3 linked regions of the Macaca fascicularis genome follow. The protein of the gene in region 1 interacts with the protein of each later gene in a pairwise test. Links are inferred from orthologs where the notes say so. Each region holds a gene or a part of one and is shown in the gene's direction. Other genes may lie near its edges.

Region 1 (9,927 bases):
AGAAGAAAACTGCCACATGGAAATCAGTAAATATTTAATTAAATGCAGAGTATAACATTATGTCAACTTCATTAACTGTTGGATTTAGTAGTCATAAAAACTTCATTGCATTTGGTAACAATTTGTAGGTTGGAGTTTTCTCACTGCACAAGATTTCTCGAGTAGGCACTAAGATTGGTGAGAAATCACAGCCCATCACAAATTAAATAAATTACTCATGGCCAAAAACTTTCAAAAGCAAAATGGCAAAAATCCTTTCAATTTTCTTCTATAGCCAAAAAGTTATTTTTACGGTGAGAGGTGGGTGTGTTTAAAATATGTTAGATGAGGAACCTAAAAGGACCTACAAGAGTAAGCAGCTTTAGGGGCTATATGATGATTGTAAAATAGCCTAGGACATTCCCATGTTCCTGAGTTTTCCAGCCCAGCCATGTTTGTGTCAGAGATGAAAGCCAGGTGACAAGAGGCTTTGACTGGATGGGAGGTAAGGAGAATTGCCTCTTCCTTAGGCCTTCCTGGTTCCACAGAGAAAAGTTAAGAATCCCAGAATTCTAAATAATGATAGCCAACATTCATTGGATACATACATTAGCCAAGCTATTATAAGCACTTTACATGTATTATTTCATTATCATAAAACAAGTCTATGAGGTCGATATTTTACTGTCTCTGTTTCATAGATGAGCAAATGGAGACATTGAGGTTAAAGCAACCTGCCCAGGGTAATGTAGGTAGTCAGGGGGAGTTCAAGAAGTTTTCCAAGCTAAAAATAATTCACAGATGAAATGGTGTCCATGACCATTAAATGCTTCACTTCAAACTCTAAAAAAGACAGAGACCAAGCTCGTCTTCTTCATTACCCTATCTTCAGCACCTCAAACAGTGCTGGGCATAGATACATGTGTTGGAGGAACATAACTCCATGTTGGATGGAAACTGGAATAAGTCAGTTTATATCACACTGCTCTGCACCAGGCACTTATGGAATGCTTTACCCCTGCCTCCTTCTCTAGGTGATTCTGTCTAGGTAGACATCTTTTTCATCATCTCTAATCCCTGTGTCTTGCACAATTTTGACCCACGATGGGTGCTAAAAACTGAACAAAGCCTGGAAAGGAGTAAGTGATTATGTGAATTCATCTCTCCATCACAGAACAACTTCCCCAGGACAACAAAATTCTCCCTCCCTACACAAAACACCAAATCTGCTATTCAGAAACTCCAAAGGCATGCATTTCAGTGTAATCAACAAGCAAATGACTATACACGTTTATCTGCCAGTTGTTGTTCGAGGGACTTTCCATGTGTTAAGCAATTGGTGAGTAATAGAATATCTATAGTAATGCTACAAAGCAAGTGTTCTTTATTATCATCCCATTTTACAGACTAGGAAATCAAGTGTTATGGGCTGAATTATATACTGCAATCCTAAACCCAAATACCTCAGAATGTGACTATATTTGGCGATGAGTCCTTTAAAGAGGTAGTTAAGATTAAAACAAAAACAAAAGCAAAAAAAAACCATTAGGGTGTGTCCTAATCTAATGTGACTGGTGTCTTTTAAAGGAGCCATTAGGATGGGGACAGATATACAGGGAAGACCATGTGAGGACATAAGGAGAAGACAGTCAAGTGCAAGCCAGGGAGAGAGACCTCAGAATGAAACTAACCATGCCAACATCTTGATCTTGGCCTTCTAGCCTCTAGAATGGCAAGGAAATAAAGTTCTGTTGCTTAAGCCACACAGTCTGTGGACTTCATTATGGCAGCCCTCCCAAACGAATACACTAAGGCACAGAGGAACTTGCCTAAGCCTACATTGCCAGAAAACGTGAACTCAGAATCTGAACCCAGGGACTCTGGTTCCTGAGTATATGTATTTAATGATAGGAAATGTTCTCTGTGCTGTCCAATATGGTAGCCACTAGCCGTATGTGGCTCCTGAGCATATAATATGTGGCTAATGCAAATGAGGAGTTGAGTTTTTCATTTAATTTACATTAAAATAAAATTAAAATTAAAACAACCCCATGTGGCTAGTGGCTACCATATGGACATAGCTTTATACTATTTCTAAGTACATCACTTACGATTTTTGCAGAATTTTCTAGAAATCTCATCTGTGCACGCTAAAAACATGCTCTATCTTTGTTCCCTATCCCTGCTGTATTTGATTTTTTTTTTTTTTTTTTCAGTTCTTTCTGATTTAGCCCCTGTTGCCTGGTCTCCTGCTGAGGGGGAGAGGGAACAGGAAGAGAGAGTGAGCTGGCTAACTTTCCAGAATCCTGGGGCCTGGGCAGTGCAGGGTCGTTGGTGTTCTGCTCTAAGCTTAGGTGTTAGCCAACCAAATGCCAAGCAGCACAAACACTGAGTGACATTTTCAGAACTATTAATATTTCATCAGAAATGATCACTTTTCCTTTAAATACACTATTTTAAAAGGTTTTCTACATTCTTAACTATAATTTTATTCGGTCGAGGCCCGCGGAATTTTCCCCAAAGGAACACATCTTCAATTTTGTAATGAAAATCAAAGGAGAATGAAGCTCAGATTTCAAAATTTAGAGTCAACATTTCCAGGAACTCAGCCCCTCTGTAAAGAGCAAGGTTGTGTATTGGGCACCTACTATATAACAGGCACTTTACATACAGTATACCATTAATTCATCCAACACATTTTTTGGGTGCTTACTATGTGCCGGAAACATGATCCTCATAATTTATGAACACCATTTTACAGAAAAGGAATTCCTTTCATCCTTCTCAAATTTACCTCCTCAAAGAGGTGGGCCTGGACCACCACGGAATGTTGCCTCCCCTCTTCTCCCCAATGCCTCACTTTGTTATTGGGTTGTTGCAAAAGTAATCGTAGTTTTTGCCATTGCAGGTGATGGCAAAAACCACAGTTACTTTTGCACCAACCTAATAGTTATTTTCCATCAGAGCCCCATTGCATCTGTAATTATTGCTGCTTTACTCGCTTGGCTAGTTTGCATCGATCTCCCCTCACTAGTATACAGGCTCCATGAGAGCAGGGACCATGCCACTTTTGCCCACCCTTATGCTTCTTCAGTGCCCAGCAACTCATCGGGCACAAAGGAGGGGTTGCATCAGTACTGGGGGAATTATGAATGGGGATAGGAGAAGTTCAGAAAGTTCTTAGGGTCACACAGCGGGGAAGTGTCAGGATTCAACCCAGCCCTGCATTTATAGACTGCCATCTTCTTCTATTTGTGTCCATTCTTCTTTCTTCCTTCTCCACCCTCTTGCTCTTCCTTTCCAGGAGTATTATTAAAGAAACAACGCCCTGACTCTTGGGACCAGAAAGTCTCCCTCAGAGGAGGTACTGTGTCAGTGCCCAGTTGAATGAAGCCGCTTCAGTGAGGGTAGGGGCCTGTTGATCAGTAAACAGCTAACTTAGCCCTTCTCCCAGCACCTCGGACCTCCTACCCCTGCTCCTGCCCACCTACTGAAGCAGTCTCAGTGCTCAAGGGCTAGATCAGGCCTAGAGTGCTGGGGTCTGAATCTCAGCTCCCCTTTTCTTAGTGGGCCTTGGACACTATCATTTATGACTTTGAGATTCGCTTTCCTCCCATTTAGAACGATAATAAAAAGTGGTACTAATTTCACGAGCTTTGATAGGATTGAATGTGAGCCCAGCGCTTGGCACAGGGCAAGCGCCCCATAAAATGGCAGTTAGGATTAAACTCGAGGATGAGGGGGCCCCCCAGGCAGGAGCTGAGGTTTGTGTGGAGCGGTGAAGTGGGGCGGCGGCGCGTTTGGCTTTGACTTCTGATCCGCCGAAGCGCTCTGGGGTCCTTTGGGCCCCACCCCCACCCACCCCACCGGCGGGTCTTGGGCTCCGAACCCAGGGCGTCCCGCGCACCGAGCCGTTGCGTTTGAAACCCACAGAAAGAATTCCCCCGCTCGACGACTGCGAGGGTGTGGGAGCCATTGGCAGGGCAAATTGGTGGGAGCCGCCCGGCCCAGCCTGCCTTGCCGAGTCAGCGCGCTCTTGAGCTGCTGGGCCCTTCCCGGTGCCCATCCCGCAGCGCGGCGCGGCCAGGGCAGGGGTCTGCTGGGGGCCGGGACTGAGGGCTGTGGGCCCATCCACACACGCCTCGTCCCTTCTTTCCCGGGGCGGCAGAGCAGCAGCGGGAGACCAGGAGCAGGTGGGGTAGGGCGAGAGTAAAGCAAGAACTGGGCCGGCGGCGGGGACCGGGCCGTTGGCGCTCGCTCTGCGAGGGGCTCCCTGGGAACGCCCAGGCGAGCGTTTCCTGCGGGGCCCCGCCCCCCGGGTGCCTACCATGGTGTCAGGCCCGCACCCAGTTCTCCGCGTGTCCTAGCGGGCCAGCATGGGCTGAGCCCAGGCGCCGCAAGGTGTCACGGCGGCGTCGCAAGGGGGCAGTGCCAGGGACTGTGGGGAGAGCCAGCCCTCCCCCTCCAGCTGTTCCCAGATGTCATTCTGCCCGCCCAGGCGCCTGGTTCCTGAGCTCCGGGGCATTCCACTGTTCCTAAGCTACTGGTTTTTGTTGACTTTTAAATATTTTCTTCTGAGGGAGAGGGGGAGGGCGGCAAAAGTTAGGAAAGAGGAAATAAAAACAAATCAAAATAAGCCCTCCCCTCCCCAAAAGAAAACTGTCCTCCACCCACCCCTCCCACACAAATCGAAGGCCTCTGAACCTAACCACCTTGTGGGAGCGACAGCCAGACAGAACTGACCCACTTCTGCCAAGACCCATCCTCATCTCCCTTTCTGGTGAATGAGGAGTGGTGGTGGATGTCTTCTAGCCCTGGGTGGACAGAGGGGCTTCCAGAAAGAGCGGAGGAGGATGGCAAGTGGGAATGGGCTTCCTTCATCCTCGGCCCTGGTGGCCAAGCGCCCCTGCGCCCTGGGCCCATTCCCCAGATACATCTGGATCCACCAGGACACACCCCAAGACAGCCTAGACAAGACTTGCCATGAAATCTGGAAGAGAGTTCAAGGCCTGCCTGAAGCCTCACAGCCCTGGACCTCCATGGAGCAGCTGTCTGTCCCCGTGGCTGGAACTCTAAGAGGCAATGAGCTCAGCTTTCAAGAAGAGTGAGTACCCCCCTATTCCGTTGGCAGAAAGGGAGGAGGGAGGAGATGAAGTCTGACCTTCTAGGGGAATGTTCTGGCCCACCCTTGAGGCTGCTGAAACCCTAAAGGCTGTATATTGCCCCTTCCATGGTCCTTTGTCCAAGCGTTATAGAAGAGCTGACCAAGGTTCTGATGTTTCGTGGGTGAAGAGCCAGATTAGGGCTATATTCCAGGCTGCCTCTTCACTAGCCCACTAAGCAGACATCTCTCATCCTAAACGCATGTGAATCTGAGGTCCTTGAAAAACCACCCTAGCCAAGGCTAAGGGTTACATGGCTCGTGACTTTCCCCAGAAGCAACTAGAAGATCCTTCCCCTCTCCCACCTAAAGGCTAGGCATTCACATGGATGAGACTGATGGTTTTAAATCACATCTGGAATTCCCTAATACAGGGAGCAGCTGTCCCATTCAGCCTCCACAGAAGCTGCTGCAAGAGCACACATCAAAATATTTACTGGGAAGGCACTGACATATTCAGAGGACATAATAGAAAATTAAAGTGCGGGAAGATGGCTGTAAATAGCCCGTTTCCTGGATGGGAAATCCTGTGTCTGGGAAACACAGAGCTAAGTGTTTCTCCATCAGGGCAAAGTTGGGCAGATATTGTTGGGGATGGATATTCGAAAGGAAAGGAAGGAGCAGAGAGGAAAAAGGGACCTCATTAGGAAAAGAAGGTAAATCTGCTGTGGTTATTAATACCACTGTTGAGCACTTATTTCACATTTTGCATCTTCAAAGTGGACTGTAAACTTAATTAATGCTCCCAGAGTCCCTATGAGGCAGGTATTAGTGTCCCCATTTTACAGATGGATTAAGTGTTAATAATTAAGAGCTAATTAAAGACTAACCGATAATTAAGTGTTGCCTGCTCCAACACATGCTACAGCTCAGTTCAGAGATGCTCTGGAGTTGGGGAGCCATTCAGGCATTTATCAGCTGCCTCAGGTTTCAGGGATGCCAAAGCAAGAGCTAAGAAGAAATGCAAAGTGTAACGGACACCCACCTCTGCACTACCTGCTGTCCCTCTGTGGGCTCATTTACTTACTGCAGATGAAGGTGGAAGGTACTTTGGCTAGTCCTGCCTCCCTGCCCTGTGCTCAGCACGACATGGCTCAGATAGGAATGGCCTATCTACAGCCAAAACCCTGCTGTCAGGCCCTTCAGTGGCATTGAGCCCTTCTTCCCTGCTCATTGCCATCTGCTCCGGGACAGGGCCTTGGCAGGAGGGCTGTGCTCAGCTCTCAGTGGCCAAGGAGCTGATTGTCCACTTCGTGGACCAAGGGTCAGTAGCAATTTCCAGTAGATGGCACCCTCTTTGCCAGGTCACATGGAGTTAATGGAGACAGACTCTACTTCCAGTCTGCACTTGGCTGAAAATTGAACTGGTGCACCTTTGGCCAGCTGCTTAACTCCATTTGGCCTTTATTTCCTCATTTGCAAATTGAGGATGATATGCACTGCCTTGTCCACCTCAGAGTTGATAATGAGGATCCGATGTGATGGGAGACAGTGAAATGAAAGATGCATTATACAAATCAGGCTGCCCTTAACTTGTACTTCTTCAGGTTGGGATTTGTTGTTGTTGTTGTTGTTGTTGTTGTTGTTGGCGGCTTCAATCTGGGATTTCACACTATGCTCCATATACCTCAAGGTGCTTCAGGGGTACCGTGGAGTCAAGTGGGCTGGTTGCTGGGCCCCAAAATCCATTTCAGCCAGAGCTGTTTAGCTTTTATCAGTTTTACTTACTGGAGTTCTGAGAAGGGCTGAATTTGAAAAGTGTGTTTCTGCTATTGAGAAAAGAGATAGGAAACCACTGACTTAGATGAATAAACAATATCCTAATTGTCAACAAAATAGAACACAATGAGCTATTCTTAAAATAAAGGCAGTGTGCTGGTGGAGTCAGATAACTCTGGTTTCAGATTCCATTTCAGCCCCATGACATTTGAAGAATTTGTTACGGTTTAATTTATCTAAACTTTGGTTTCCTCATCTGCCAAATGGAGATTAATACTACACATTTTGTAGGGTTGTTGGAATGATTAAATGGGATATTTAAACATCTATGGTAATAATTCAGATTTGTAAAAATTCCCTGCAATTCAGATGTAATCATTTCTTTAAGCTCTACAATTATTGTATGAGGTAGGTACTCTTTTGAACTTTCCATCTCTTTTTACTTTTTATTATGCAGATTTTCAAACACGTAGAATAATATGGTGAATATCTATGTGTCTACACTGAGTTTTGATAATTATCACATTGTGCCATTCTGGCTTCAATTGCTACCTCCACCCCTCCATTTATAAGTGAAATTCCTTTTACAGATAAAGTGGCTGAGGTTTGGAGGGTTTAATTTCTTTGCCCAAGGTCCCACAGTTAGGAAGTGGTAGAGTTTCAGAAATGAAACCCAAGACCACCTTGGCCCTGAGGCAATAATGTTGGCTATCCTCTCTTAGAATCTGAGGCATCTTTGAATAGTCAAAATATTTGGGAGTCCCATGTTCTGAATGATCACACACAGAGTGAAAAGCCAGAAAGCTGTTCTTATGGTTTCTAGAATGCCTTCAGGTGCACAAGACACCTCTCAGCTAGTGTTTCTGCTGCTTAATTTGTAGACCCGGTTTTGGTGGTGTTTTCTTTTATTGGGGTAGATAGGTAAGTGCATTCTAGAACTCTTTTTGGCCAGAATTTATTTTTCTTAACTCTGTACCTATATATCATAGGAACCCAGACATTTCAAATTTGAAAGAGATTTTTGAGGCCATCTTCTGCTGCTTGAATCCCCTCCTTAATGTCTCTGCCAAATGGTGCACTTGTACCACTTGTACAGTTTCTCAGACGGGAAGCTTACCATTTCCCTTTGCTGCCCCTTCCCTTGCTATGAATCCCCTAAAAGACCATTTGCTTTCTATCACTGAAATATGTCTCTATCAAGCTAATTCCCATTGATCTGGATTCTGCCCTTAGTACTCCAAGCCAAAGCTATTTCCTTTTTCTTTCAGTACCCCTTTAGATAGTGAAAGACAGCAAGACAGCAACAACATTCCTTCCAGAATGTTTTTGTCTCTATAAGCTAATCTCCTCTGGTTTTCTATGTTTCTCCCCACGTGCCAACTTGGTTAGTTTCCTGTCCACACAGCTGGTCCTTGTGGCAGTGTAACTTGGAGAGTCAAGTACAGTAATCCGGGGTGGTCCAATCCATGTAGATTGGATCCTCCCTGTCTGCATTCTGCTTCCTGTTAATGACGACCAATACTACACTCACTTTTTTTCCCCAAGCCGACTTTCACTCTATGGACACATTTTGAATGTATTAATTAATTCACTCAGTTATTGAGTTAACAAATATTTGTTAAACTTCTACTATATGCTAGAACTGTGTGAAAAACTAGGGGGAATGGAGCTGTGAACTCCATTAATCTCTGTCTTCCTAGAGCTCACATTCCAGTACAGGAGAAAAAAGAAGCATGTAAATACAAAAACTGATAACTTCGGAATGTGAAGAGAATGGTATTCCAGGTGGAGGAAACCCATAAGAAACACATAAAAATAAAAAAGATAATTTCGGTGACAAGTGTGATGATGGAAATAGAGCAGAGTGAAGTGATAGGAAGAGCTCCTTTAGGCCAGGTGTCAAGGAAGGCTTCTCTGAGGAGATGTGATTATCAGGGCTGAGACCTGGGTTCTAAGAAGGAGCCAGTCAAAGGAAGTTCTGGAAAGAATGTCTGGACAAAATGAAGAGCAATGGTCAGGTGTGGTGGCTAAGGCCTGCAATTCCAACACTTTGGGAGGCTGAGGCTGGCAGAACGCTTGAGACCGGGAGTTCGAGACCAGCCTGGGCAATGTGGCAAGACCTCATCTCTACAAAAAATACAAAAATTAGCTGGGCATGGTGGCACACATTAGTTCTAGCTACTCGGGAGGGTGAGGCGGGAGGAACACTTGAGCTCAGGGAGGTCAAGGCTGCAATGAGCCAAGATTGCACTACTGCACTCCAGCCTGAGTGACAGAGTGAGACCCTGTCTCAAAACAAAGACAAAAGGAAGAGCAAATGCAAAGACTGTGAGGTGGGAGTGAGCCTAGAGAGGGACAGTGAGACTGGAGTCAGGAGGGGTGGGGACATGGCCACAGTATAAGTATTACAGAGACAGGCAAGGCCTCGGGAGGCCTGGAGGATCACTGTGGGGAGTTTGGATTTTATTCCACATGTTATGGAACACTTTTGCAGGTTTTTAGGAAGGGCTGTAACAAGAACATATTCACTAATGTTTGAATCTCTGTCCAACTTCTGTGTGGAGATGGTTTGTAAGTATGTGAAAGACGAAGTGGGAGGCCTCTGGGAAGATACTGTCAGAGTCCAGGGGAGGCCTAATGGTGGCAGTGGCTGGGTAGGAGTGACTGCAGTAGGGATGGAAAAAGTGGAGGATTCAATGTGTGTTTTAAGATGAGCCAATGGACCTACTGAGGATTTGGGTACACAAACAGAGACATTGAGGCCACGCTCTGTTTCATGTGCTAGTTCACCCTACAAACAAGGACGGCGGCATGCATCAGTATCAATGTGACTGGGATGTTGAGACCCAACACTGGGAAACTCAAGGTGGGGAGTGTAGGGCTTCAGTGGAAAGGATTCCAACCTGTGGCCCATGGGGTCTCTGAAATCATTCGCCAAATGCTGAGAGATGTGAGGATGTCTTTCAGGCAAAAGGGTGTACAGAAGCTTTCCTCAGATTTTCAAAGAGGTGTTGACCCCTCCAAGAGGAGAAAACACTAGCTGAGAGTATTAGACTCCAAAGATCTCC
Region 2 (10,064 bases), on another chromosome or scaffold:
CGAACTCCTGACCTCAGGTGACCACCCGCCTCTGCCTCCCAAAATGCTAGGATTACAGGCATGAGCCACCATGCCTGGCAGAGATCTAACTCTTATACTTAACTTTTCTTTAAAATATTTCTTGTCACTTTTACCTATAATCAAAATCCAATTAACAGCTTACACATTCATTTTGGTAAAGCAAATTTCACAGAAAAGTAGACAAAATTATAAGAGTTTCCTGGAGACAACACAAGGAAAACAATGTTTAAATGTAAAATAGCCTGTGTAATGTTAGGTGATGTAATGCCCAAGTGAATAAAAGATTTTTAGCCAAGCAAACTACTGTTTCTACTTTAGAGGAAAAAAAGTCAGTTTTCCATTTGTATTTTAAGGAAAGAACAGAAAGCACAAAGGTTTTTCTTTATTAGTGGCCTACTAGAAATGAGCAGTGCAAGAGTCTACCTGTACTATTCTAATACAGTAAGATACTGGACACAAAATGGAGGTAACTTTTTAAAATAGATTGGCTTGGAAGTTGAAATGTAGATTAATGGATATAACCCAATAGAAAGGGATTTTAAAATAAAGCCAAAGTCTATTTTTTTATTTACTTTCTAATTTTGAACAGGTTACTCAGTCTAAATCTTCTTTGCCTTTATTTCCTATAAAATGTAGGTGATACTTGTCACTCGACTTCCTGGAGGTTAATTCTTCAGCAAGAGGTGACCCTGAGAGCATACTTTAAAATAATTGCTGTACAGCCATTGAGTACTAACGTGATGATAGGTTTTCAAAATATCTCTGTAGTGGACCCTGCATAATTACATTCACTTCTCTTAGACTGTAAAATACTTTCTTGACTTGTTTTAACAGTAGAGATAGCAGTACAATTTGAATTTATGGTTTAGGCTCTGCAATTAGAGGAACAACTGCAGTTTCCTCCTACCCTTCAGAATATGGTCTGTGTAAAACTGATGTTTGCCTAACTTATTTTAAAAGTTGGTTACGTTTTCAGAAAATAAAGATAATCACTTTTGCCATGGTTATAATCAAATCTAAGCTTTCAGACTTGAGAGCCATGGTGTAAAACTCAAGGTTTACTTAAATTATGCTGACTTTGCTAGAATTGGATAAATTCTATATAAGCCAAGTATGAGTTCACATGTACTCAAATATGCAGTTTTCACAAAGCTATTACTCTTGTTAATCAGGCTTGTATGATTTATTCCTTACCACGAAAGAAGTAGACAATTGCCACTTTTATTTCTAATCCTTAAGTTGAATGTTTCTTCTTGGATGTAAGTTCAAATAAACTGATCTGGATAAATTTTCATTTCTTCTTAATTAAAACTTCCTATGTAAAATCCAAAGGCTTTGTGTTTTATTTTAAAAACATATGTCTTCACACATTCAACTTAGAATCTGAAAAAAATAGAGAAATCCACATTCTTACACATTTTCTAATTTATAATACACTCCTTTTAGTTTTTTGTGTTTGGATCTTCCAGAAGCAGGTGCCAAGAGGTGCAAGAGATTTATTTGGAGTGAAATACCTAGAAAGATAAAGAAGGGAGCAGAAGGTGGGGAATTCTTCATACCACTCTGAAAGTCTGACACCTGGAAGGAAGGATTGGGTAGGGGAGCTTTGGACTTCAGTGCACCTTCAAACTGCTAGATGAGGACTTAGTTCCCAAGCAAAGGTTCCCTGTAGACAAGTCCACAGGGACAGGAATGGCCTAGATCTAGACCCCTCCAATGTGCTCAGCTACTGGCTGATTGCAGGCAAGGAAAAGTTGGAGGCTATCCATTACTGGTACAGTGCCAGGACTAGGGTATGGTGAGGCACTTGGGCACAAATATTTGACTAATAGACTAAGGAAGACAATGTTTTGGTGCAATATTGTAAAATCAGAATTGATGCCAAAAAAAGCCTATGATGAGCAAGATACCAAATTTCAAATCAAACATGACTGGATTGCTGATTTCTTGTTGCTTCAGGCTTCACCATGGCTCCACAAAGCACTGCTTATTCACTGTCTCCAGTGAGGACAGGCTAGGTCCACACTAGTCGTGTAATTTTCCATAGGCCTGTGTGCCCTTATCCAAAAATAAGACTCTGGGCTTAGATATTTTAAGTTCCTCTGTTGCCCCTTTTTCAGTGTGAGAATTGTGTTTGCTGTGGAATACATCCAGGGATGTCTTCCTTTAAATAAGTTCACAGTTTTAAATGGCCACCCCCTGACTCACTAATGCCTTACACAAAGCAAGATGCAAGTGCACCACATGCTTTTAGGATATTTTTATATGTTAAAAAAATGTATATTGGCCGGGCGCAGTGGCTCACGTCTGTAATCCCAGCACTTTGGGAGGCCGAGGCAGGCGGATCACAAGGTCAAGAGATCGAGACCATCCTGGCCAACATGGTGAAACCTCGTCTCTAAATTAGCTGGGCAACGTAGAGCGCGCCTGTAGTCCCAGCTACTTGGGAGGCTGAGGCAGGAGAATCGTTTGAACCCGGGAAGCGGAGGTTGCAGTGAGCTGAGATAGCGCCGCGCCACTGCACTCCAGCCTGGCAACAGAGCGAGACTCCGTCTAAAAAAATACATATATTGCATATATGTGTCTATTTTGCACACCATATAATTGTCACGACATCTTTATTGCTAGTTAGTAGGTTCCTTGACTGGGGTCATGTCATCTGTGCCTGACACAGGAGGTAATGTTTATTCAGAAATGAAGATCGCGGCTGGGCGCGGTGGCTCACGCCTGTAATACCAGCACTTTGGGAGGCCGAAGAGGGCGGATCGCTTGAGACTAGCAAGGTGAGACCCCATCTCTACTAAAAACACAAAAATCAGCGGGTGTGGTGACACACGCCTGTAGTCCCAGCTACTAGGAGGCTAAGATGGGAGGATAGCTTGAGACCACCAGGCAGAGGTTGCAGTGAGCCGAGATCGCGCCACTGCATTCCAGTCTGGGTGACAGATGCCTCGTCTCAAAAACCACAAAAAAGAACATAGGAGAAGAGGCATTGATGAGGAAAACTCAGCAAAGACAGCAAATATCAATTTGTTAAGCTATTTGCAAAGGTTTTCTCTTTCCTGTATTAATCTTTTCCCTCTCCCCACTTTTGGCCCGAGGATCTGAATCGTTCGGTCAGGCAGAAATCAGACCGCGTCCATACCCAGCCTCCTTCGAGGCCTAGCTGTAAAAACCGCTGAGCAAAGGGAATCCAGAATCAGCCCTCAAGCAACTCAAGACAAGTTAGCAATTTCCGCCGGTATGCCGTGAACACCGGCGACCACTGGCGTTTCCTCTGAGTCCTCGGAACTCCGGAAACTCTGGGAGCTTTCAGCCCGCCCATCAGGGGAAAGCGGCCCGGGGCCGGCGCCAGGTGGAGCCCATCCCCCTGCGTCTGGCGGGCCGCAGTACCGCCAGGGGCCTGCGGGAGGCGCACGCGGCGCGGCCTGAGGGGAGGGGGAGAGCGGGCGGAGGCGGTGCGCTCGGCGCTTCCTGTTCCGGCGCCAGGAGGAGCCGCGCGCTGCTGGTGCTGTTGCCGCCGCTGCTTTCCCTGCCGTCAGTCAGGCTGCGCCCGCTTCTTCAGGGCCCAGTCCCTCGGACCCATCGCCGCTTCTAGACCCTACTGCGGTCTCGGATATTGCCGGGTGAGGCTGCTTCGGTACTAGTGGGAGTCGTGAAGGGGAATCGGGGGGCTGGGGTTGCGGAGCCCGCGGGCGCGGCCAAGCGGGAAGCGGGCGCGGTAACTGAGGTGCATCGAGTCACGTCCAGTGCTCGGGCCGTGGTCGCCTGCCTGGGACCGGGGCTAAGCGTTTCTCTCGGTCGCCTTCCTCCACGCTGCGGGCTGCCTGGGGATCGCCCCCCAGGGAGAAGGTGTAGGAGGCCGCTGACGTCGCGCCCGACGGGTTTCTGGGCGCCTGACGTCAGGCCTGGCTGCGGGGCGGGGCGGGCGCGGGCCGGCCCCTCCCCCACCCTTTCCCGGCGGGCGCGACCCGCTCGGAGGCCGGTTCGCTCCGGTTGATCCCGGACTCCCTTTGTTCGTGCGTCCCTAAAAGGCTGCCGGCCTCGCGCCTTTTGGCCCCGATTTCCCCTCTACCCCCACCCCATTGCACCCATTCATTAATTTCTAATAAAAAGGGAAAAGCCTGAAAAGATTATTACAGGAATCTCGGGCGCTTGTTAATCCGCAGTGTGACAACGCTCTGGTTATGACTCACTAGAGGAATTGCCCACGGATACGTTAGATGAATACCCAGGGCAAACCACGAGAAGGGCAGAATTTAGGGATCTCCTTTTTAGGACTGAAGAGCGCATACCTACGATAGCTTATATATAGGGGGACCGTTTTCCTCTTTACCTTGAAAAGCAAGAGTACAGCTTTTAATAGGTAAAGATTGCAGTGTTAAAGCATGAAGCCGGACTCGCTCGACCGAAAAATTTTTTTTTAGTTTTACTGCTAGAGAAATACACACCTGGGGGTTGTAAAGGTCTGTTTTGAAAAGGAACCCTCATTACAGGCAAAGGTAGCCTTCAGAAACATTTTGTAAGTTCTTTGTTCACTGGTGTTCTTTGAGGGAAGAATAGAAATTTTTCATGCTGGCATCTCTGAGCCCACAATGCAAAGCGAGTTTGCTTCAGAAACTTGGAGTGAATTGCAAATATTGGAATGTTCTTTTCCTCTCTCCAGGAGGAATGGGTAATATCCATCCCCAGTCTCTTAGCTGAAACTTTTGAAGCTAGTGTGTTTTGAATTCAAAAATACTTGGATTTTATCTTCATCTTTTTAGAAAGACGACATGTTAGACGAGAGATAACACCCCCAGCAGAATGGGGCACCGCATCATCCAACATTAATATTTGCAGCAATAGATGTGAGCATTCATTCTAAGTGGGGGCGAATAGAAACTATAAATAGCTTCAGGTCACATTTTGCCACCATGTAAGATTTGTGCCAAACTTGGGAAAGTTTATTTTTTCGGAAGTCTCTGGATTGAGAAGGGCAGATAAAGATTTATGGACCTAAAAGTAGGCATCGTAAAAGCTAATATTTGTTGAGGTTTTGCTATATTCCAGGCAGTGACTAAGAGATTTGTTTATTATATAAGTCTTAGAGCAAATCTATGATGTGCATACGATTCTGATCTCCCTTTGCCTCGAGTTTGGAGAATTGGACTTGTCAACTCTGGCCAGTCCAACCAGTGAAGAGCTGCAGTTGTAGCTGGATGGTCATACTTTAGCGTTTACTCTTTTACCTATAAGCTAGATGTCCACATACAAGGGAAAGAGAATTTGGTACCTGTTTTCCACCCAAGCACTATTTTAGGCACTTGATTGGACAGAGTCCAATTTAGTTCATCGCAGCATTACTGGTCTGGTTGTTTTTTGTTTTTTGTTTTTAACTGCGTGCTTTTTACAAACAGTATGGCCTGTTCTTTATAGTTCAGGTTCATTCAGATGAGCCGACTCTTACTGAAATAATTCAAACCCTCGTCTAAGGTCTCTCTGCTAAGACTTTCCCCTTCCCTTGCTATATTCTAACCCATCTGAACTGCTTATACCTCCTCACAGATTCTCCCAATTTTTACACCAACTGCTCTTCTTTCCCTAGGACCCATGTCACCGCCCTCTACTCCCAGCTCTTTCTTTATGGTCCTTATGGACTGCAAAAGACAGCACATCTCAGGAATCTCCATGTAATACTAAAATTTCTCTAAAGCCCAACACATTGTTTGGCACATATGTTCCAATAAATATATAACTAAATGCCAAGAAATATTGCAGGTTGCATATCCCTTATCCCAAATGCTTGGAACCAGAAGTGTTTCAGATTTTGGATTTTTTTTTTTATATTACACCAGTTGAGCATCCGAAATCCAGAATGCTCTAATGAGCATTTTCTTTGAGCGGCATGTTGGCACTCAAAAAGTTTCAGATTTTTGAGCATTTCAAAACCCCCGTTTTTGAGTTGCCCAAATGTAAAAAATGGAACATAATCAGATAAATGAGCCAATGCTGAAAACTAGCATGTATTCTAATTTATAACTTTTTATTTTTGGAGACAGTCACTCACTGCAAGTTCCGCCTCCTGGGTTCAAGCGATTCTCCTGCCTCAGCCTACCGAAGTAGCTGGGATTACAGGTGTCTGCCACCGTGCCCAGCTAATTTTTTGTATTTTTGGTTGAGATGGGGTTTCACCATGTTGGCAAGGCTGGTCTTGAACTCCTGATCTCACGTGATCCACCCCCCTGGGCCTCCCAAAGTGCCGGGATTACAGGCTTGAGACACTGTGCCCAGCCATTAATTTATATTTTCAGTATGATACATATCATCCCCTGCATACTAAACAAATCAACCCCAAAATTTTGATTTTATTTAATTTTGCCTAATAAATATCTAACATGTATATAGCACTTTATAGATTAAGTGTGTTACTATTTTCTGTGCAGTGGGTAGGAGCTATAACTTCTACAGATGGAAAATGGTCTCATTGAGAAGTTTATTTTTGTCAAAAGATACCGTCAAAAAGGATTGATGTCTGGGTTTCATCACTGTGTAGTCCCATACTGTTTATTACTCCGTCACAATTTGAAGGCTCTGTGAAATATCCATGAACTCCACTAGTAATTCATGGAGTTCAACTCTCTTAACCACCCTCCTCCCTGACCCATGATTGAATTGTCATTTTTACCCTAACAGCCATGAGAGTTTCCAAAATGTTATGTTTTACTTTTCTAGTGTATGTCAAAAGAAATTTTGTACTGTTTTAAAATTACTATTCTTGCTGCTCAGAGAATAAAAATTATTATTTTTCAGACGATGGGTGGATCGGACGATGCTATAAAATGGTAACAAAGTTTTGGAAATAATCGCTTTAGATTATTCCAAAAAGGAAAAAAAAATGAAAGCCTTTCTTAAGTATACATTTTTTTTATGAGTTCAAGGTTACATTGGCCTCATCTTAATAATCAGCAGTGAATCAGATATTTTGGAATAGCTTTATATTTTTATTTATTTTTCTTTTTGAGACAGAGTCTCACTATATTGCCCAGGCTGGTCTTTAACTACTGGCCTCAAGCGGTCTTCCCACCTCAGCCTCCTGAGAAGCTGGGATTACAGGTGCACACGACTAAGCGCGGCTTAGAATAGCTTTTTAGAAAACCTAAACTTTTTACGTTCTGCAACTTTCCTCATACTGAAACGTTCATGTCCAACTCTGTTTTTCACCTTTTCTAATGAAAGTATTCTCCAAAGAGCAAATTGGAATGCTTCCAATTACAGTTGTTCCCCCTTATCCTAGGGGGACACATTGCAAGACTCCCCAATGAATCCCTGAAACTGAAGTCTATACACTGCGGAAGCCTAAGTGTACCATGTTTTTTATATCTAATAACCAAGATGGGCTGATAGCGTATACAGCATGGATACACTGGACAAAGGGATGATTCATGTCCTAGGCAGGAGGGTGCAGACTTTCATTTTGCTACTCAGAACATGCTCTTGCCCCATTTACTTAAGAATTGGCCAGGTGCAGTGGTTCGTGCCTGTAATCCCAGCACTTTGGGAGACCGAGGCAGGCGGATTACTTGAAGCCAGGAGTTCAAGACCATCTGGCCAACATAATGAAACCCCATCTCTACCAAAAATTAAAAATTAGCTGGGCGTGGTGTCATGTGCCTGTAATCCCAGCTACTCGGGAGACTCAGGTAGGAGAATCACTTAAACCTGGGAGACTGAGGTTGCAGTGAGTCGAGATCACATCACTGCACTTTAGCCTGGATGGCAGAACGAGACTCCATCCCAAAAACAAAACTTAATTGTTTATTTCTGGAATTTTCCATTTAATACGTTCGGACCTCAGGTAACTAAAACCATGGATGAGGGGGGATTACCCTAACATGAACGCTGATTATTCTAGTAATGGAGAACTGGTTACTTTACTAAGACAGTGCCATAGAACAGAACTTGTTATTAATTCCTATGCTTAGGGCTTTGTTTTTTAATCACGAGATTCTAGCACCTCCCCTATCTTCCAAACTTGGATTTTGAACTTTAAAATTTTGAAGTAGTATTGTGAATCAGTTGAATATTATTAACTTGTAGAATAATTTATGTAATTCTGTGACTAGGTAACTGTGTAATTCTGAAAACCTGAACAGTCAAGACCATTTGGTTCACTTTGATTCTCAACTCCAGAATTAATATGAACTTTGATAAAGAATCATTTTCTATTTCAGAAAGGCTAATCCTGTTTAAAAAGCATGTTAGTCTTACAACTTACCATATATTTTCTACACTGTTAGTCGTAAAAATTTTATTGTGTGATATGATTGATGTTAAACCTTAACATGGAAATGGGTTGTATGTGTTTTTTGATATTCTGAATAAAAAGGATATAGCAGTTGGGATAGGCTTGGGTTCTTGTCCTTCATGTTCTTGTCCTTTCATTCCTCATGATAACCAAATCATAATTAGAAATAAGATGCTAAGGGGCCAGGTGCAGTGGCTCACACCTATAATCCCAACACTTTGGGAGGCCGAGGCGGGCAGATCACCTGAGGTCAGGGGTTCAAGATCAGCTTGACCAACATGGGAAAACCCTGTCTCTACAAAAAATACAAAAAATCAGCCGGGCATGGTGGCGCATGCCTGTAATCCCAGCTACTCGGGAGGCTGAGGCAGGAGAATCACTTGGACCCAGGAGGCAGAGGTTGCGGGGAGCCAAGATCGCACCATTGCACTCCAGCCTGGGCAACAAGAACGAAACTCTGTCTAGAAAAAAAAATAGTAAGATGCTAGGAATATAAGAATACAAAGGTGACTCTATATTAATACTGAATTGATAGGTCAAAGGAGAAAAACCATGAGATCCATTCATTAGAGACTGAAAAGTCTTTTGAGGGAATTTAGTGTCTTCTTGCTTTCTTTATTAACTAACAAAATAGGAATAAATAAATAATAGCATAGGCATAAATTAAAAACTTAATGTAATTTTTTAAAATCTCAAACTAAAAATGGGAATCATACTTAAACATTAGAAGCAGTCCCAGGAGAGTTGGAACAAGACTGCTGTGCCCGCTATCACTACTTAACATTTCATTATTTAAGTCCTAGCAGGTGCAAAAGAGAAAATATGCATAATTATTAGAGAAGGAAAATTATTTTTTGCAAATGGCATATTTTTTTAAATCTGGAAATCCCAGAGAATCAAGTGAGAAACTTTGAAGAATAATTCAGTAATGTTGCTTCCTACCCTAGGTTAATTAATATAAAGAAGAGTTAAATTCCTATGGCATATTTCTGGTCATAAAAACATCACTAAACTTTTAAATAAAACCCAAAACACTTCTAGTGTTAAACATTTAAATGGACTGGGCACAGTGGCTCACACCTGTAATCCCAGCACTTTGGGAGGCCAAGGTGGGCGGATCACAAGGTCAAGAGATTGAGACCATCCTGGTCAACATGGTGAAACCCCGTCTCTACTAAAAGTACAAAAATTAGCTGGGCGTAGTGGCACGCACCTGTAGTTCCAGCTACTCAGGAGGCTGAGGCACGAGAATCGCCTGAACCGAGGAGGCAGAGGTTGCAGTGAGCCGAGATCACACCACTGCGCTCCAGCCTGGCGACAGAGCGAGACTCCATCTCAAAAAAAAAAAAAAAGATTTCTGCTAAAAATTTTTAAAATTAGCTGGTTGTGGTGGTGCATGCCTGTGGTCCCAGCTATTCAAAGGCTAAGGTGGGAGGATCACTTGAGCGTGGGAGGTCGAGGTTGCAGTGAACTGTAATCACACCACTGCACTCCAGGCTTGGGTGACAGAGCAAGACCCTGTCTCAAAAAAAAAATTGAAATGAATGTGAGCTGTGTATACATTTGAGAAAGATTAATAAAAAGATAATTATTTGCCTCCCTATTCCAGTTCAGGGTCTCAATGGCTGGAGACTTTCCTGGCAATTCAGAGCCCAAGATGGGAACCAGCCCTGAACTGGATGCCATCCCAGCGCAGGGTGCTCTCGCCCACACCCCCACCCATGGAGACTGGGCCGTGTAGACACATCCATTCATG
Region 3 (9,869 bases), on another chromosome or scaffold:
CCCCTCCTCTCTTCCCACCCTCCCACCCTTTAGTCCTTCCAGGGCAGTCAGGGGCGTGCCTACCTCTTCAACTCTGTGTGAGTATCTGGCCTCCCTTCTTGCTTTCCCTGACATCTGTTGTGACCTGTGACCCCTGGCATCCTGCTGAGACTCCCAGAGTTCCCCGGTGCAGGCAGGAAGCTGTGAGCATCATCTCTTGGATGCGGAGGACAGGCACAGTGCTTGAGGGGGGCCCTGTGATGGCAGGACCCTCCCTGGGACTGCCCCATGTCCCCACAGGGTGAACGTGGGCTGCGGGCCAGCCGAGGAGCGGGTGCTGCTGACCGGCCTCCATGCTGTCGCCGACATTCACTGCGAGAACTGCAAGACCACTTTGGGCTGGAAATATGTGAGTCAGCCACCTCTGACCCTAGGCTAGCCTTTGACCTGACCTTCCAACACCTCCTCCTGACAAGCAGTCATCCTATAGCCTTTCAGATTGCATAGGCCTAGCTCACACAAGTCAGACTGTCTTTTCATCCCTGACCACATTTTCTTCTCTTGCACCCTGCAAGGGCTGTAGAACTTTTCTCTTAACCTATCCCTTCTCCCAGGCACTTGGATCCGCATTTGAGAGTTAGGATATAATCAGAGTCACCATTTATTGAATGCTTATGCGCCTTGCACTGTTGTGTGCCTGGCATCTGTTATCTCATTCAATCATTGCAGTGATCCTTTAGGTAGAAGCTAGTATTATCTCTACAGAACAAGACAGGGAGGCCCAAAGATGTTAGGTAACTTGCCCAAGATCACACAACTGGTAAGTGACAGAATAGGGACCAGAATCTGAGTTGGTTGGTTTTTTTTTTTCACTCCAAACTCTTGACCACCAGCTTATATTGTCATTCAGAGTATCAGAAAAAATTGCCCCAGACTGTGCAACAACATGGAGGTTGGGTTCACCAGCCTCCCTTTCCATAGCCCTCATTGCCACTGCTGCTGTCCAGGGTCTGATTTCACTACCCTGAGTCTCATTTCCTTATCTGTCAGTGGAAGATAAAGCCACTGTCTAGCGCCCAGGATTGTTACAGGGATCAGATTAGATGTGGCAAAGGAAGATGCTCTTGGGACACTGCAAGGAACAGGATTCTTCAGGCGTCGCTTGGAGCTGTGGTGCCTCTGTGAGGTAGATGCCCCAGGCAAAGCCAGCCAGCCAGCCCTGACCTGAGCTCACTGCTGGCCCTGCCACAGATTGGCTGTGTGTCTCTGGACAGGTGGCTTGGCCACTCGACCTCTATCAGAGATGGCCGGCCGGGCACGGTGGCTCATTCCTGTAATCCCAGCACTTTGGGAGGCCAAGGTGGGTGGATCATGAAGTCAGGAGATTGAGACCATCCTGGCTAACACGGTGAAACCCCGTCTCTACTAAAAATATTTTAAAAATTAGCTGGGTGTGGTGGTGGGCACCTGTAGTCCCAGCTACCCGTGAGGCTGAGGCAGGAGAGTTGTGTGAACCTGGGAGGCGGAGCTTGTAGTGAGCCGAGATTGCACCACTGCACTCTAGCCTGGGCGAGAGAGCGAGACTCCGTCTCAAAAATAATAATAATAAATAAATAAAGAGCTGGCCTAGACAAGAGGTCAAAAACTCAAGTGCCAGGCCAGGCATGATGGTTCATGCCTGTAATCCTAGCACTTTGGGAGACCGAGGCAGGTGGATCATCTGAGGTCAGGAGTTCAAGAACAGCCTGACTAACATGGTGAAACCCCATCTCTACTAAAAATATAAAAATTAGCTCGGCGTGGTGGCGGGTGCCTGTAGTCCCAGCTACTCAGGAGGCTGAGGCAGGAGAATTGCTTGAACCCAGGAGGCGGAGGTTGCAGTGAGCCGAGATCGTGCCGTTGCACTCCAGCTTGGGCAACAGAACGAGACTCCCTCTCAAAATAAAACAAGACAAACAAAAAAAAACCCTCAAGTGCCTGCAAGGCCAAGCAGATACTGTAGATGTGTAAAGGGTAGCATAGACTGGAGGGGTTGGGAGTTGGGGGCAGGCTGGGCAAACTGGAGTGAGCACGGCCTAATTATATTTTAATACTTTAAAGTTATTTTTATTAAACTGTCTGCTGTCCAAGAGAGAGTTTATATATGTCGTTTGCCACATATAATACATGTTGTAGGCCAAAATGGCCATGAAGCCACCAGTTTGCAAACCTGAACTGTGAAATCTTTTAGCCACTTCCCTATCTTCTCTGTTGGAGCCATCATTAATACTTGAAAAGTACCTTTGAGTCAGGGAGTTCTACTCTGTGTTTGTGAGAAACGCGGCCCTGCCCCTCCGCCACAGTTTCCTCATATGTAAAATGGGGCCACTCATGTCCACTCCCCAACCCCTGTGCCTTGTGGTGAGACTTGCTCCGGGGATGATGGTCCCGCCCCTCCTTTCAGGAACAGGCCTTTGAGAGCAGCCAGAAGTACAAAGAGGGGAAGTACATCATTGAACTCAACCACATGATCAAAGACAACGGCTGGGACTGACCCCCGCTCCCCGACGCATGTGGCTCCAGCCCGGCCTGGCCGCCAGGGAGCGCCACCGGCTTCCCTCCGCCCAAAGGGAGCTCTGGACCCTCAGGGCCCCTGCAGAGGACGGATCCAGCTCCTGTACATATATTTTATTGCATGCACTGTGACCTTGGGGGGAGAACAGAAGGGGGACGACGCCCCCGCACCTCCTGCGATCTGGCTGGCTTGGATCTCGTTTTTAACCCCCTCCTTCCCCGCTTACCCTATAGATATGGCCTGTGTTCTGCTCTCCTGGCCCCAGTGCACCGTCTGCTCTGTGAACTCCTCCCACCAAGCCCCTCTGACCCCACGCGTGTCTGTCCCCCTCGTTCTGTAGCGTTTGTACATAATAAAACAATGGAGTGGAGACAGCTCAGGCTCGCGTGTAATCCGGGGAGGGGAAGCTCAAGCGGAGATTTCTGCCCCTATAGACCTGTGCGGTTCTGAGACCCGGCGGGGCATGGGGTAGGCAAGTCGTTCAAGCTGGGTCTCCAGGAACCGGGGCGGTTTCACTGCCGGCGGAGGCCCGGAGCCCACTCTGGCTGCCTACGCTGTGACCTCGCCTGATCTGCGTGTGCTCGGCTGCAGCATTTGGCCGCCGCCTAGGGACAGCGCCCCAGGGAGGCAACCGCGTCGCCGGCCTCGCAGCCCCCTCGCGGCCGGACTACAACTTCCAGCGGCCCCCGCGTGGTCCATCCGGCTCTTTCGGGCGCGCCTCAACGCTGGGCCTGCCGGGAAGTGTAGTTCCGAGGGTTCCCCAGCGTGGGACCTTCTGGGAAACCCTGCCGCGAGGCGTCAGAAGCTGTCGGACTGTGCGCGCCTCCGAACCTTGGAGGCTTGGCTCAGCGTGGAGGTTTTTTTTAAAGCATGGGGACCAGGGAGGACTACGGTGCTCGGGACTGGGCTGCGGCCTCCTCGCGACCCCGAGTGCCCTGTGAAATCAGCTCAGGCCGCATCCCTCCAGCCTGCACTTTCCCTCTGGTCATGCTGCTTCCCTCCAGGGCCCGGCCTCCAAGTGAAGGGGGGCGGAGGGCGGTCACCTGCCAGAAGGTCGGGGGCGCCAAGGTGTGTCCCGGGACTCCAGGCTCCGTCCAGGCTCCATGCCCCGCCCCCCAGCTTATCCCTAGCTGGGGCTCCCCCCCGTGGGAACGGGGACCAGCTGGCCGGAAGCGCCAAACTGCGTCCCTGTCCGAGCCCCGGGGATCAATCAAGCCGAGGAGTTAATTATGTAATGAGGGGGCAGGGGGTCGAGGCTAATGAAGCCGCCCGGGGTGGGGAGGGAGGGAAGGAGGGGACCGTACCCAGGTATCCGGCCCCTGCTCGGACCCCTTCGAGGCCCCAGGGGTCTCCACCCCAGCCCAAATCCAGGGCCCCAAAGAGGGGAGGGGCTGTGATCCTGGGTCTGGAAGGGGCTGAGCTGTGAGCTATAAAGGGGGCATCTCGCAGCACCGGGGGCTCTAGGCAGCGAGACCTGAGACCAGACGGAACTACAACATGTACCATCCACGAGAATTGTACCCGTCCCTGGGGGCCGGCTACCGCCTGGGGCCCGCCCAACCTGGGGCCGACTCCAGCTTCCCACCCGGCCTAGCAGAGGGCTACCGCTACCCCGGTGAGCGTTGGGACCAGCTCCTGGGTAGGAGAATAGGGAGGCTGGGGCCCTTGGCTGGCTCCTCATTTTTCCCCGGCTTCCAGACCTGGACACCCCCAAACTGGATTGCTTCCTCTCCGGGATGGAGGCTGCTCCCCGCACCCTGGCCGCACACCCACCTCTGCCCCTTCTGCCCCCTGCCATGGGCACTGAACCGGCCCCATCAGCTCCAGAGGCCCTCCATTCCCTCCCTGGGGTCAGCCTGAGCCTGGAGAACCGGGAGCTATGGAAGGAGTTCAGCTCTGTGGGAACAGAAATGATCATCACCAAAGCTGGGAGGTGAGGGGCTGGTCAGGGTCCGTGTTTCTGGTGGGGGTCTCCTGGGAAAAGCAGAGTCCCTGAGGAGGGGCTAGGTCTGGGAGGTTCCCTAGGGGCTAGAGTTCTGCCTAGGCTTAGAATCTGACTATGGCCTGGGACAGGGGTTACTCTGTGGCTGGAATCAGGAGTCATTCTGTGACAAGGGCTAAGGGCTAGTCTGTGGAGTCTGTGGCTGAGTTTAGGGACCAATCTATGGCAAGGGTCATGGGTCAGTCTGGGGCAGGGTCAGGAAGTCCTGCTGGGTTATAGGTTAGTGTGTGGCCTAGACCAGTGTCCAGACAAGGACAGGGGGTCAAGGGCCAGCCCAGTGACCAGCATCAGGGAAATCTGACCAGGACTGGGGATCAGTATGCAGCTTGAATAGGACTCAGTATATCTAGGTCCAGGGTCACCCTAGAGGCAGGGACATGGTCAGTGTGTGGCCTGTGACGAGGTCTTTAGGGCAGGAGCTCAAGCCCTAGCGTGGAAAGTCCTCAGCCCTACTGCAGGCAGGGTATATTTTTTCTAAAGCAAATTCATCTAAAAGCTGCAGATTCTGGTGCTGGACATCAGGGGAGGAGAGGAGGGTGGGGACAGGAAGCTCCTAGCAAGAAAGTTAGTCACCCCTGCTTCTGCAAATACGCTTTGAGGGGTAGGAGTCATGGCTCTGTTCCTAACCTGCTGTGTGACAGATCGCTTAACCTGTCTGTCCTGTTTCCCCAAATGTAAAATGAGACAAGAAAACCTTCCAGATCTAAGATTCTGCCCTCTGGGTTCTTTTTTTTATTTTTTGAGATGGAGTCTCGCTCTGTTGCCCAGGCTGGAGTGCAGTGGCGCTATCTCGTCAGCTCACCACAACCTCTGCTTCCTGGATTCAAGCGATTCTCCTGCCTCAGCCTCCCGAGTAGCTGGGACTACAGGCACAAACCACCACACCTGGCTAATTTTTTTATTTTTAGTAGAGACAGTGTTTCACCATATTAGCCAGGCTGGGTCTCAAATTTCTGACCTCATGATCTCGCCTCAGCTTCCTAAAGTGCTGGGATTACAGGCGTGAACCACTGCACCTGGCCCTTTTTCCTTTTTCAGAGACAGGGTCTTGCCCTGTTGCCCAGGCTGGAGTGCAGTGGTGCAATTGTGGCTCACTGTAGTCTTGACCTCCCAGGCTCAAGTGACCCTCCTGCCTCAGCCTCTATAGTAACTGGGACTATCAGTGTGCGCCACCATGCCTGGCTAACTTTTTAATTTTTTGTAGAGATGGGGTCTTTCTGTGTTGCCCAAGCTGGTCTTGAATTCCTGGACTCAAGAGATCCTCCCACCTTGGCCTCCCGAAGTATTGGGATTAGAGGTGTGAGCCACAGCCTCCGGCCTGCCCTCTGGGTTCTAATTCCACCTCCCTTGATGTTTCTCTGACAGCTCTGGGGAGCCTGCTGCTATGTCCCGTTACTGGTGCTGGGCCCACCCCTGGCCAGTGGGTAGCACCAGGCCTCTCCTGTCCCCTCCCTTGCACAGGCGCATGTTCCCTGCCTGCCGAGTGTCAGTCACTGGCCTGGACCCCGAGGCCCGTTACTTGTTTCTTCTGGACGTGGTTCCGGTGGACGGGGCTCGCTATCGCTGGCAGGGCCGGCGGTGGGAGCCCAGCGGCAAGGCAGAGCCCCGCCTACCCGACCGTGTCTACATTCACCCCGACTCTCCAGCCACTGGTGCACATTGGATGAGGCAGCCTGTGTCTTTCCATCGTGTCAAGCTCACCAACAGCACGCTGGACCCCCACGGCCACGTGAGGCCCAGGCTGGGACTCTAGGGTTGGGGGGTGCTAGAAGGGAGGCCAAGGCTGGGGCACAGGGCAGGGAATCACTCCCATTTCCTCCCTCCCAGCTGATCCTGCACTCCATGCACAAGTACCAACCCCGCATACACCTAGTTCGGGCAGCTCAGCTCTGCAGCCAGCACTGGGGGGGCATGGCTTCCTTTCGCTTTCCGGAGACCACATTCATCTCCGTGACGGCCTACCAGAACCCACGGGTGAGTGCCCCTGCTTGAGGGGGTGGTGGCGCCCTGCCCAGACCACAGTTGCTTTGACCCTGGATATGTGTCCCCAGATCACACAACTGAAGATTGCAGCCAATCCCTTTGCCAAAGGCTTCCGGGAGAACGGCAGAAACTGTAAGAGGTGGGAGTTGTTCATTCATTCGTTCATGCATTCAACAAATGTTTATTAATCACTCACTGTGTGCCAGGCACCGTGCTGGACATCAGGAATACAGTGGTAAGTAAAAACATTCATTCACTGACTCAGCAAATACTTATATAGTACCTGCTATGTGCCAGGGACAGTTCCAGGCACTGGAGATAAATCAAACAAAGTAAACCAAAGCCCCAGCCCTGATGGAACTGATTTCTAGTGGGGACAGCAGACAAGCAGACAAGAGAAATAAATAAAATGCCATCTGTTAGGAAGCCATTCTAAAGAGAAGAGAGACCAGGTGCGGTGGCTTGCTTCTGTAATCCCAGCACTCTGGGAGGCTGAGGCGGGCAGATCACCTGAGGTCAGAAGTTTGAGACCAGCCTGCCAACACAGTGAAACCCTGTTTCTACTAAAAATACAAAAATTAGCCAGGCATGGTGGCATGCGCCTGTAATCCCAACTACTCGGGAGGCTGAGGCAGGAGAATCTCCTGAACCCAGGAGGTGGAGGTTGCAGTGAGTCGAGATCGTGCCATTGCATTCCAGCCTAGGCAACAAGAGTAAAACTTCGTATCAAAAAAGAAAGAAAGAAAGAAAACTCTGTCACAAAAAAAAAAAAAAAGGAAAAAAGGAGAAGAGAAATAAACAGGAAAGGATAGGAAGGACTGGGGTGAGCTATTAGATAAGAGGCCTGAAAAGGCCTCGGCAGGAAGAAGACACTTGAGAAAGAGCTGAAGGAAGTATGGGAGGGAGCCGGGTGGGCATCTGGCAAAGCACACTAGGGAGTGGGAACAGCACGTGCAAAGGCCCTGAGGTGGGGCTGTGCCTGTGGCGTGGCTGCAGTGGAGTGAGTAGGAGTCAGGCAGGGGAGGGGAAGCCAGGTTATCTTGGACAGTAAAGGTTCCATAAGGCCGTGGGAACTGTTCCAAGTGTAGCCCCTCAGAGCTGGCCCCTGCCCTCAAGGAGCTTCCAGTTTGTCAGAAGAGACAGACATGAACCAAGGAGTCACTCCATCAAATGCAAAAGCATTTGCATTTAACTGTCTCATAACTGTGACAGATGTTATGAGGGAGGGGTGTGTGCTCTCGGAGATCAGGGAGGACTTCCTTGAGGAACTTGCGCTAGCACTAAGGCAAGGATAGGTTTGGTGGCTCATGCCTGTAGTCACAGCACTTTAGGAGGCTGAGATGGAAAGATCACTTGAGCCCAGGAGTCGGAGGATGCAGTGAGCTGTGACCATGTCACTGCACTCCAGACTGCACTCCAGCCTGGGCAACATAGCAAGACTGCATCTCAAATTTTAAAAATGAAAAGAAAAAGGGGCCGGGCGAGGTGGCTCAAGCCTGTAATCCCAGCACTTTGGGAGGCCGAGACGGACGGATCACGAGGTCAGGAGATCGAGACCATCCTGGCTAACACAGTGAAACCCCGTCTCTACTAAAAATACAAAAACTTAGCCGGGCGAGGTGGCAGGCGCCTGTAGTCCCAGCTACTCGGGAGGCTGAGGCAGGAGAATGGCGTGAACCCGGGAGGCGGAGCTTGCAGTGAGCTGAGATCCGGCCACTGCACTCCAGCCTGGGTGACAGAGCGAGACTCCGTCTCAAAAAAAAAAAAAAAAAAAAAAAGAAAAGAAAAAGGATGGGTTCAGCAGGTGAAGAGGGGACAGAAGAGGATTCCAGAGAGAGGCTCAGAGTGGAGATGGGGCAGAAGGATGAGCTAGGTGAGACCGTGCCCTGGCCTTGCCTCTGGGAAGGAGTTTCCATTGACACTAAACACAATAGTAAAGCATGGACAAGCTTGAGCAGGGACAAAATTCCAGCTCTGCCACTTTCTAGTTATTTAATTTTCTGGCCTTCAGTTTCATCTGTAAAATGGGTATAATGATGGCCCCTACCCAACAGGGTCCCTGGGAGGGTGAAATGCCTGGCACTGGGTAAGTACTGTTATTACCATCACCATGGCCATCACCGTCATCATCACCATCACCACCACTGTTTCCCAGGGAGCGAGATGCCCGTGTGAAGAGGAAACTGCGGGGCCCAGAGCCAGCAGCCACAGAGGCCTATGGGAGCGGAGGTGAGTATAGTCCCAATGGCGATGGGGCCAGGCCTGAGACACGGATCCTCCCTAGCCCAACCTCTCCCTTCCCTCTCCCCGGACGCACCAGGTGGTCCCTGCGACTCCACTCTGGGTGGAGACATTCATGAATCAGACCCAGAACAGGCCTCAGCCCCCGGGGAAGTCACCACTGCCCTGGCACCTCCGTGTGGTGGCCCCAGTGCCGAGGCCTACCTCATGCACCCTGCGGCTTTCCACGGGGCCCCCAGTCACCTTCCCACCAGGTGAGTGGGACAGGGGACCAGGCGGGGCTGCGGGACCCTCGGCACTGCTCTGACATCCTTCTCTCCCATGTCAGGAGCCCCAGCTTCCCGGAGGCTCCAGACTCTGGGCGCTCAGGCCCCTACTCGGCTGCATTTCTGGAGCTGCCACCCGGGCCAGGGGGCTCCGGGTACCCAGCGGCTCCACCGGCGGCACCCTTTGCCCCGCACTTTCTCCAAGGCGGCCCCTTCCCTTTACCATACCCCGGGCCTGGGGGCTATCTGGATGTGGGCTCCAAACCCATGTACTGAGCCATTGCTGGGCCCCTCTGCCTCCATCACAAACCTCCTGCTCCCTTCCCCCAGCCCTGGAGCCCCCTCACCTCCACCAGCCCCATCCCCCACACCAAATGGCTGCCTTGGGCCTGCCCACCCCCCCCACAACTTCACACCTTGATTTCACTCCCACCCCGCTCTGGCTTCAAAGCCCAACCAAGGCTGCTGGGAGTCCAGCTGGGGCCGGCTTCCCCTTCCCGGCTCTCACCTCCGTGTGAATGGAAGGGGCTCTGCCTGGCCAAATGGGGCTACAGACCAGTATCCCCACCTACCGGGTCCCCCTGAGAGCCCTTGGGGGGGGGCTCAATCCCCACCCCCACACCACTAGTGCAGGCCACACCAGTCTGTTGTTCTGGGACCAGAGTATTTTTGTTAATAAAACTCAAAAGCCATCCATGCTCAGGAAACATTGAAGCTCCTGTGTTTGGCCCTGGGCGGGGCTGGGTGAGCAAAGGCTTTGCTGGGAGACCCAGACCCAGATCTAAACCTGTGTTTCCAGCTGCCTGACCTAGCACGAAATCTACCAGCTCTCTAGGCCCATCTC

Evidence for each region.
Region 2: the proteins of C1H1orf94 (region 1) and MAPK1IP1L interact in binary tests that used the Homo sapiens proteins (3 or more experiments, as listed by UniProt). The two-hybrid records come from large-scale screens. The link is inferred for Macaca fascicularis from reciprocal best matches to the Homo sapiens genes C1orf94 and MAPK1IP1L.
Region 3: the proteins of C1H1orf94 (region 1) and TBX6 interact in binary tests that used the Homo sapiens proteins (3 or more experiments, as listed by UniProt). The link is inferred for Macaca fascicularis from reciprocal best matches to the Homo sapiens genes C1orf94 and TBX6.

What each region holds. Positions count from the first base shown.
Region 1 is NC_088375.1:200,802,555-200,812,481, reverse strand, and holds the start of C1H1orf94 (uncharacterized protein C1orf94 homolog), read left to right. Parts: upstream 1-4,279; 5' UTR 4,280-4,763; coding exon 4,764-5,083; intron 5,084-9,927.
Region 2 is NC_088381.1:122,904,654-122,914,717, forward strand, and holds the start of MAPK1IP1L (MAPK-interacting and spindle-stabilizing protein-like), read left to right. Parts: upstream 1-3,490; 5' UTR 3,491-3,647; intron 3,648-10,064.
Region 3 is NC_088394.1:28,003,508-28,013,376, forward strand, and holds TBX6 (T-box transcription factor TBX6), read left to right. Parts: upstream 1-3,295; 5' UTR 3,296-3,601; exon of another isoform or gene 3,602-3,982; 5' UTR 3,983-4,030; coding exon 4,031-4,148; intron 4,149-4,231; coding exon 4,232-4,466; intron 4,467-5,900; coding exon 5,901-6,264; intron 6,265-6,362; coding exon 6,363-6,509; intron 6,510-6,586; coding exon 6,587-6,657; intron 6,658-8,673; coding exon 8,674-8,747; intron 8,748-8,802; coding exon of another isoform or gene 8,803-8,838; coding exon 8,839-9,013; intron 9,014-9,087; coding exon 9,088-9,301; 3' UTR 9,302-9,732; downstream 9,733-9,869. UniProt on the Homo sapiens protein: T-box transcription factor that plays an essential role in the determination of the fate of axial stem cells: neural vs mesodermal. Acts in part by down-regulating, a specific enhancer (N1) of SOX2, to inhibit neural development.